Neurospora crassa OR74A: one gene and its partner. The protein of the gene in region 1 interacts with the protein of each later gene in a pairwise test. Links are inferred from orthologs where the notes say so. Each region holds a gene or a part of one and is shown in the gene's direction. Other genes may lie near its edges.

What was found. The genes of interacting proteins can lie anywhere in the genome.
Region 2: the proteins of NCU04188 (region 1) and NCU06713 interact in binary tests that used the Saccharomyces cerevisiae proteins (3 or more experiments, as listed by UniProt). The link is inferred for Neurospora crassa OR74A from reciprocal best matches to the Saccharomyces cerevisiae genes VPS68 and VPS55.

The regions. Positions count from the first base shown.
Region 1 is NC_026505.1:5,140,279-5,144,370, reverse strand, and holds NCU04188 (UPF0220 domain-containing protein), read left to right. Parts: upstream 1-1,278; 5' UTR 1,279-1,683; coding exon 1,684-1,782; intron 1,783-1,971; coding exon 1,972-2,330; intron 2,331-2,521; coding exon 2,522-2,585; 3' UTR 2,586-3,357; downstream 3,358-4,092. Other genes in the region: cot-2 (glucan synthesis regulatory protein), read left to right, coding at 1-249; NCU04187 (cap binding protein), read right to left, coding at 3,534-4,092. UniProt on the Saccharomyces cerevisiae protein: Involved in vacuolar protein sorting.
Region 2 is NC_026505.1:4,358,680-4,363,248, forward strand, and holds NCU06713 (vacuolar protein sorting protein 55), read left to right. Parts: upstream 1-1,580; 5' UTR 1,581-2,073; coding exon 2,074-2,326; intron 2,327-2,428; coding exon 2,429-2,562; 3' UTR 2,563-3,196; downstream 3,197-4,569. Other genes in the region: pca-6 (proteasome component PRE5), read right to left, coding at 128-775, 882-993, 1,113-1,150; NCU06714 (para-aminobenzoic acid synthetase), read right to left, coding at 3,197-4,569. UniProt on the Saccharomyces cerevisiae protein: Involved in protein transport from endosomes to the vacuole.

The DNA.
Region 1 (4,092 bases):
CTCACGGCTAGCAACGCCTCCCTCGAGGCCAAAGCCGCCGACAACTTGATGGAGTTGAACACCCCAAGGACAAGCGGAGAGCATAGCAAGGAGGATATCAAGGTCAATGAGGATTCTCCCGCCAAGGAAAGGACAAGCGAGGATAAGGAGAAGAAGCCTGAAACCGAGGCGAACGGAAAGGCGACGGAGTCAAAGGGCAAGCAAACGACAGTCGAAGACGCCGAGGACATGAAGGATATCGAGATTTAAAAGGGAACAAATCGAAGCGACCCAACGAACTCGTCAACTCATGGGTCACCATTGAGTAGCTGGCCCAGCAAACTGCTTCCTCACCATGCGCAGGGCACGGAGTCAGACAAGGTGTAATGTTTCTCCCTAATCTGATATCTTGACGCCTCCTCGAGCCAGTTGTCCTCTCTTGGCCGAATATAAGGGCCATCGCATGATGAAGGGGCAGGTCACGAATCTTTCTCTTCCAATTACTTCTTCCTCGCCACCATACGATTAGTCTCTATCGTCTAATCGGGTTCTTTCATGATGCGGGGGTTTTCCCTGCGTTGTCCTCTCGCCTGTTTGGCCAAGGAGAGGGGGGTTTTCGAGGGACAATCTCGTTGCATCGCCGAAGTTTGAATATTGTATGTACACTAAAAGGGGATCATTTTGACTTCGACTGGTGGGTGGGACCTTGTTGTGGTCTGCCCGACGCCGCCCGCAGAAGACATTTTCAGCTTTGCACTATTGTTTACTATTACACTGCATAGCGTCATAATAACTCTTTCTGTCTTTATTTTCTGCATCCAAGCTGTCTTGGCTTCTGGAGGGGAACTGTGGTTACTTACTTCCCCTGGTGCTGTCGTTGGCTGGTTGTCAGCCACATGGAAGGAAGTTCACGCTCGGATGCTGAGTTGGTACCGTTGTCAGTGATTTATCGAACTCGGAAGGCGCTGATTTTTTTTTTAAAGTTCGGACTGTTATTAGGGGGAGTTCGAAGAGGGTGGTCGAGGGAACAAGTGCTTTGTATTTACATGGGAAGGGTATAGACATGGATGGTAGGGAGAGAATCAACAAAGCGTAAAAACATACTCTTGCTCTTTCATGCGATGTTCGGTGCAGATTCAACATAACAAAAATTAACATGCAACAATGTCACCACAAAGGCTGTCACGTGCCACTAAACGCTTAGGCCACAGCCTTGGGACGGCCGACCCACAGTAATTGGACAAGCAGGTCCCTGCTTACAGTGGAGCACCTGCCCGCCAGCCCGCCTGGCACCGCGGCGTGCGGACGTCGTCATCCTCCAGTTCCAGATCGACGACAGAGCTATCAGAGAGGAACACCAAAAGCATCATTGCCCAACGAGTTGCTCCAGTCACGTCAACTACAACTACTCTACCGATTGATCGACTGGTAGACGACGATTCCGCAATCGCGCGCAGTCATTTTCACAACCCGGGGCGACCGATACCACCGACGGACGACAGATAGGCATCTCAGCTCAGCTCTGATAACCACCACCACCACCACCACCACCACCACCACCACCACAACTCCGACTGCCGACACCGAATCGCGATCGCATCGTCACCTAGTTAAATCTACCCTGGGCTTGCGACACTACCGTAGAAGCCAGCGCATAAGAGAAAGAAGAAAGACATACAAGAAACAACAACACGACACAAACAAATGACCATGTCGGAAGAACGCCTCTTTAGATTCTCCAGGCCTGAATGGCTTAACAGCGCGTGGGTGAGGAACGCGGGGGTTTATGCTGCTGGTGCTTTTGTACGTTTTTTTTCCTCTTTTTTCTTTTTCTTTGGCGCCTATTCTCTCCTTCCCGGACCTGACGTTGTGACCTTCCTTGCCATGATACCATGCCATGCCATGATCCTCTCTCGCTGTTATGGTTCATACATAATTTTCGTCATCCTCCTCCATATCAACGTACAGTCCGCTAATGCAATGAAAATCCAGTTCTCCCTAGCCTTCTACACCCTCCTCGACTCGGCCGTCTGGTCCCACTCCCCCCTCAACGCCTCGGACGTGCACATCCACTTTGTCGACTGGCTGCCCTTCATCTTCAGCACGCTCGGCATGCTCATCATCAACAGCGTCGAGAAGGCGCGACTTTCTTCCGAGAGCTTCTCCTACAGCGGCAGCGGTGTGGCGTGGAAGGCGCGCGTGGTGCTGTTTTTGGGCTTTGCGTGTCTGGCGGGTGGTATGGCCGGTGGTGTCACGGTGTTCGTGCTCAAGTACGTGGTGAAGGATGTTGGGTTTCCGGCTTTGAGAATGGGGGTGGAGAACTTGGTTGCTAATGGGTTGGTTGGGTTGAGGTGAGTTTTCCCTTTTCTTATCCCCTCAGTTCCTTTTTCTTTGGTTCTTTTTGGGGGGGTTTATGCGAAAGAGAGAGAGTTAAAAGATGGCGGCGAGAAGGGTAAAGAGGAGATGACGAGGAAACAAGAAGGACCCATGATCTTTGCAAGTCCACATACTAACTAACAACCTCTCTTCAATAACAAAACAGCGCTGTCGTCCTCTGGATCTCCCAAAACATGGAAGACGAATACTCTTACAACCTCGCGCTGTAAGTCGCCGGGTCCGGTTCGGTTCGGTTCGGTTCGGTTGTGTTGCGCTTCAAAGGAGTATGGCTATGATCGATTTCTCGTCTCGAAGATCCTCGCCCGCACACACACACATATATACACACCACAGTAAGGGCACAAAAAAAAAAAAAAGAAAAAAAAAACCAAAACCAAAACCCGCCTTACCTACTGCTACCAAACACGCACTAGATCTACGACACCAAGTCTCCCCCCTCACAGCAAACAGGTCTGACGAAGTACCTTCCAGTCCGGCGCAGGGGTGAAGAGAGGGGACTTGGGGGTTGGAGGAGGAGTAGAAGGAAGGTAGGGTAAGGTTGGCTACGGACTAGAGAAAATAGGTCTTTATGCCGGGCACCGAATCAGGAAACCGCATGTAAGGACTCGGTTTTCCTCGTCATTGTTATGAACTGGATGAGTTGGGATGAAGTGGAACGAACAGGACATGTATACTTTTATTGATATGGAAGGACCATGAAAACTTGCGCCCAGGGAGACGGATGGTTGAGTTGGAGGGATCACTTGGGTAGCTATTGATTCTGCGTTGGGATCACGCTAGGGCTAAGTTATGTACCGTTATTGAACGGAATCAAAGAGGAAAACAACCCAAAAAAAAGTTATGGCGAAGCTGTAGAATCTCAAGAACAACAGCTCCTGGTTTCTAGTTTCAGATGTTTAGCATCATTTACTCTCACCTGTTTTCCATGCATCATCGATGGCCAAATGGCACGAAGACGCAAGCAGATCTTTTGAACTAAGCTTCCATTTTTATGTACCTCCCAACGCTATGAAAACCCCATCCAGCCAGACTACTGAATCGGCTGGCCCTTTATTGAATACGAGCCCGAGAAAAAGACAAACCCTTCAAACCATCGAGTTCTAGTATAACCTCATCCCCTCTTTCGTAAAAGGTATTCAGTTATACGAGACAACTGTTCAAGCAGTTACCTCAGCAGCCGCATCAACAGAATCAACAGCCATATCGTCCTCCTGTGCCGGCGCCGCCGCTAGCTCCGCAGCAGCAGCAGCCGCCTTCCTCTCCCTCTCCTTCCGAGCCTCGACAATGAACGCCTCTTCAATTGCGGCTCTACGCTTAAACACTCTGAGCCAGCGCTCGCCCCACCTCTTGACGAGCTTCTCCGTCTCGCTGGTCCCATCACCCTCGCCCAGACCATCGCTGGCCTCAAGCATCTCATCCTTGGAACCCGACGCCCAAGCGAACAGGGCATCCTCAATGGCACGGAACAACGAGCGCATGCCGTTGATCTCAGCCTCGATGGTCTCGTCGTCAATCATAGCCTCGGGCAGTGTAGCCTTCTGCAGTACCTGTCTCAGACGGGAAGTGACCTTGACGACGGTGTTGAACACCATTTCGTAGACGAAGCCCTTGGCGAGCGCCTCGCCGCGGGTGGCGCCGGCGTACGTGGTGATGGCCCAGTTGATAACGGCCTGCGGGGTGAGGATGCTGTAGTTGAGCAGCTTCTCGATGATGGCA
Region 2 (4,569 bases), about 780 kb from region 1:
CAGTAGACACAAAACAATGCATTAACATAAAGGGGACTTGTTCATCTCATTACTTCATTCCGGGTGTATGCGCTCCATGTGCTAAATCTGCACCTATGCCTCAAAGCAAACCCCACATTTTCAACCTTTAGCTATCGACATCCATACCCTCGCCCTCGGCAGCTGCCGGGGCAGCCTCTTGGTTATCCGCCACACTCTCTATCCATGCGCTGACGTCTTGTCCATCGTACACCATGAATGGCTGCGGCTTGGTCGTGCCGTCCTCCTGCTTCTCGACACCCACAATGGCGACGCTGGTATTGTCGATGGTCAACTCGCGGTCTTGCACCAGGCTCTCCTTGAGCGCCTTGAGACCATGACGAATCAGCTCCTCGCGGCCGCAGTCGGCAAAGGCCTCTAGGTTCTTCTCCAAATATGTGCGCGCCATCTGGCTGCGGGCGCCAATGGCAAAGGCCACCATCTCCTCGGTCATGCCGCTGGGCTGGAACTCGAAAAGGTGCGGGCCGTGGTCGTCAACGCCGGCGACCAGGAGACCGACACCGTAGGGCCGCTTACCGTAGTGTTGCGTGTTGATCTGCGCCTTGGATCCGATCATGTCGACAAGGGTCCGCACGGGCATGTTGCGGCCGTACGTGAGGCGGTGGCCGAGGGACTGCTGCTTCATGAAGTTGGAGAGGACGCGCGCGTCCGAGGTGAGGCCGGCGATGGCGATGCCGACATGTTCGTCGATGGGAAAGAGCTTCTTTTGGTACGATGAGAGTTCTTCGGCGTTACGCTGGACAAAGTGACAGGAACATGGTCAGCTTCACTTGGCCCTAGGATGGATGGGAGGATACATGTATCGGCAGGGTGGTGCGCGAGGGGTGGTCGGGGCGAAGTACCTTGATCGCTACCAGGACGGCGTGTGTCTTGCTAGCAATTCCCACCACCACCGAACCCTGCTTTACTGCTTCCGCCGCATATTCGACCTGGAAAATTCGCCCTTGCGGAGAGCTGGAGGGAAAGCAGTTGTTAGCTGAATGTCGAGGGCAGACCTCGTCAAGTGCAGAGCTTTGGGCGTTTGGAAGCAGGGCCCCCAGTCTAGCTGGCGGCTGCGGGACAGCTTCGCTTACAATGTGACCGAGTCGTTGTCGTAGTTGTTCCTGAACATGGCTGCTGGACACCTCTATCGAGGAGACTGGGAAACAAGAGCAGATTGCGGCGGGGGTATCGGGGATTTTTGCCGGCAAGTATCTCGTCGGTTTCTTCTGGCGGGTGTTTGGAGGACGCGAAAGATTGTTGTTTGTGCTGATAGTGACGATGGTGGTGGTGTAGAGGTAGTCTGGGTGGGATGGATGGGGGGAGGTCAGTGGACAGTGGTTGCTTCCTCCCGCGGGCAGTTGCGCAGGCAGCTCCTAGCTTCGTCAGGTCCCGCCGCCCAGGCAATGAGGATGGATGTTGGGTGACGGAGGGCGGGAACAGGCAACGCGCGGGCGGGCAGGCAACTGGTACGTCGCTGCAGGTACCTCCCTTGCCCGCCAAAAGAAAGTCAGACCCACTTTTGCTTGTACTCACCTTATAGGACTTGTAGTGTAAGTGCGGGCGGCCAGGTGCGCGCTACATAGGTAGAGGTAGGTATGGAACGGAATGCGCTGAGCGAGAGCCAGGAAGAGGCTGACTGACGACAGCCAAAGCGTCAGTGCGGGCAGTCGTCACTTGTTCCCGCTCGCTGGAGCTCCTCCAACGACACGGGCAACTCTCCACCACAACCTGGAAGCACACTGCATCACCACCATCACGAGTTGTCGCCTGCTACAGCAACGAATCGACGAAGCGCGCAAGCCGAGTAACCCACGCGATAGTTTGTCAGGTTCTCGATCACAAAAAACAGCAGGCAGCGCTTACACTACATTTCCATCGATTACCAGTTAGCCACGTCTGCGCAACAAACACCTTTGATCCCGGCAGGCCCGCGACACTCCGACTCTACCTGGGCAGATTCTCCGGGTTACCGGCGTAAACGACGCCCTGATTTCAACTGTGCCCAAAACTTGAACGCCTTCGCAACCAGAAGCTTTCACATATCCACCCGAGATGGCAGCAGGACTCAAGACCATCATCGCGCTCTCCTTCGTCTTGGCGGTGGGCTTCCTCCTCGTCATCTTGTCATGCGCACTATGGAAGGCATACTACCCGCTGCTGGTGGTGGCCACCTACGTGTTGGCGCCCATACCCAACTGGATCTGCAGCCATTGCGCCAATCCGGACGACTTTGTTGAGAGCTCGGGCGCTGCGGTGTTGGATCTGGGTCGCTTCTGCACTGGTTTCCTGGTCATGATGGGACTTGGTAGGTTTACTCCTCCATCTTGTGGCTGGCGTGTATCCTGTGTTTGTGTTGTGTTGCATGTACGGTAGCTGACATCTCTCTCCTCCCCTCTTCGACAAACAGCTCTTCCAGTTGTTCTCGCAAACTCGGCCATCATCACGGTCCCGGCCATGATCATGTCCGTTATCGGTGGCCTGTTGATCTATGGCACCATTATCAGCTTCGCCATGTTCTTCCAGGAAGAGCAAGACTTCTGACTAGCCGACCAATAATTTCGACTACGACAGAATGGTCCAGAGTCTGAGACACACACAACAATGACACAGAACTACAAAGAGGTAGCGACTTCCGAACAACGGTTGGGTGCGGAACCGATTTACGCATGGTGGGAGACCATGATTGTACAAGTGCCGGGACTTGAGCCGGATGACAGCTATGGGATATGATCAAATGGGTTTCGGGAAAGAGGCGGGCACTGGCTGATGAAGCGCTTATGGGCTGGGCTGGATTTGGATTATTACGAGACAGTTATGGGGTTATTTTATGCCGTGATCAATCATCTAGCGAGAGGGCTTGACGTCTTCTTTCTCTCCACTTGCAATGCTTCGCGTTGAAAAGTCTACTTTCTAATCCCGCCGTAAGGTATGCATCCGTTGAGCTAATATAACAGCCACAAAACTCCAACCCATTTTAACCTTGACACCAAGACGACACCCTAGATATGTTGGATATCGTGTTCTTCTAACCCTAACGCACGCTTGGGCCCAAAATGATGAAGTTATCTTGCTTTTGTTTCACGTCTTCCCTTTCTTCCACAGCCTCTGGCCGCAGACCAGCTCTGCTCGCCATAGAACCCCCCCTCACCCTCTGTCTCTCACCAATTCATCGAGTCTAACCCAGCTCCGCAAACACCTTCAACGGCCCAGCGAGTTTCGTAAACATTTCCTCCCGCTCACCCTCAGGGGTACTCAGAATGGTAACCGCTCCTCCAGCGCCAATATGCCACACCTCATGTTCTTCCTCACTCTGGCCATCTTCTCCTTGTCCCTGCACAGTTACCCGCTCATCGTCCCACCGGAACAGACTTCGGATCGTCACGCTCCAATCTCCTCTGCCGCTGACACACATGTAGCCAACAACACCCGAGTACAAACTGCGCTCACTGTTCTGCTCAATTTGCTGCAACAGCTCGCAGCTGCGTTTCTTGGGGGCTCCCGTCATGCTTCCCGGCGGCAGACTAGCCGCGAGGACGTCCAGTCCCGTGTATCTCTTCTCGTCATCAGAGGGTGGGGGTAGCTGCCCTTCAACAACAGTAATCATCTGAAACACACTCTGATACTCCTCCACCTTGAGCAGATCGCTCACCTCAACGTTACCCGCCCCGCAAATCGAATGCAAGTCGTGCCGGACCAAGTCGACAATCATCAGGTTCTCGGCTTCCTCCTTGGGCACGTGCAGAATCTTCTCTGCCTGCTCGAGCGTCGAGACCGCTTCCGACTTGCGCACTGTTCCCTTCATCGGCCGCATTGAGCACCGCCCGTGCCGGTTGTACGTCAAGAACCGCTCGGGCGAGGCGCTGACGAGCGTCGCGCCGCCGAGGCGCAGGTAGGACGCGAATGGGGCTGGTTGTCGGGAGCGGAGCTTTTTGTAGAGATGCCAGGAGGAGGGGATGGGGGAGGAGGAGGAGGAGGAGCGACGCTGTTGCTGCTGCTTTCGGTTGAAGGTTGAGTTTATTCGCTGTTGTTGTTGTTGTTGTTGCTGTTGTTGCAGTCCTTGATTTTCTTGTGGAGCAGATGACGGGATCATGTCGCTCAGGGGCCGAGTGATCTTGGTTTGGTCTGTGAGACAGAGCTCGTAAGAGTCGCCGGCTGCGATGAACTCTTGACAGGCCTTGACCTTGGCCTCGTATTCCGGTATCAGAGGTGTCTGTATTGAGGGGCTTGTAGAAGGATGGCGCGTCTTCACCTTCTTGGCGGGTGAAGGCAAGTCGTCGAGAAATGGGTGTCGGTGATGGGCAGAGACTGAAACAAGTCGGTCTGCGGTGCTCCGCATCCAGGCAGCATCGTCCAAGCTTGCATCAGAAGAATATAACTCCTGGATATGGGCCAAGCCAAGACGGTGATCTATGACCACGCTCTTTGTTACCCATGCCAGACAGACGTCAGGTCGGTGGTGTGGGCGTGTTTCCAGACGGATGTCGATGTCACTCAGGCCTTGTTCATAGGTGATGAAACCTATGAATCCTCCCAGGAACGGTAGATCGG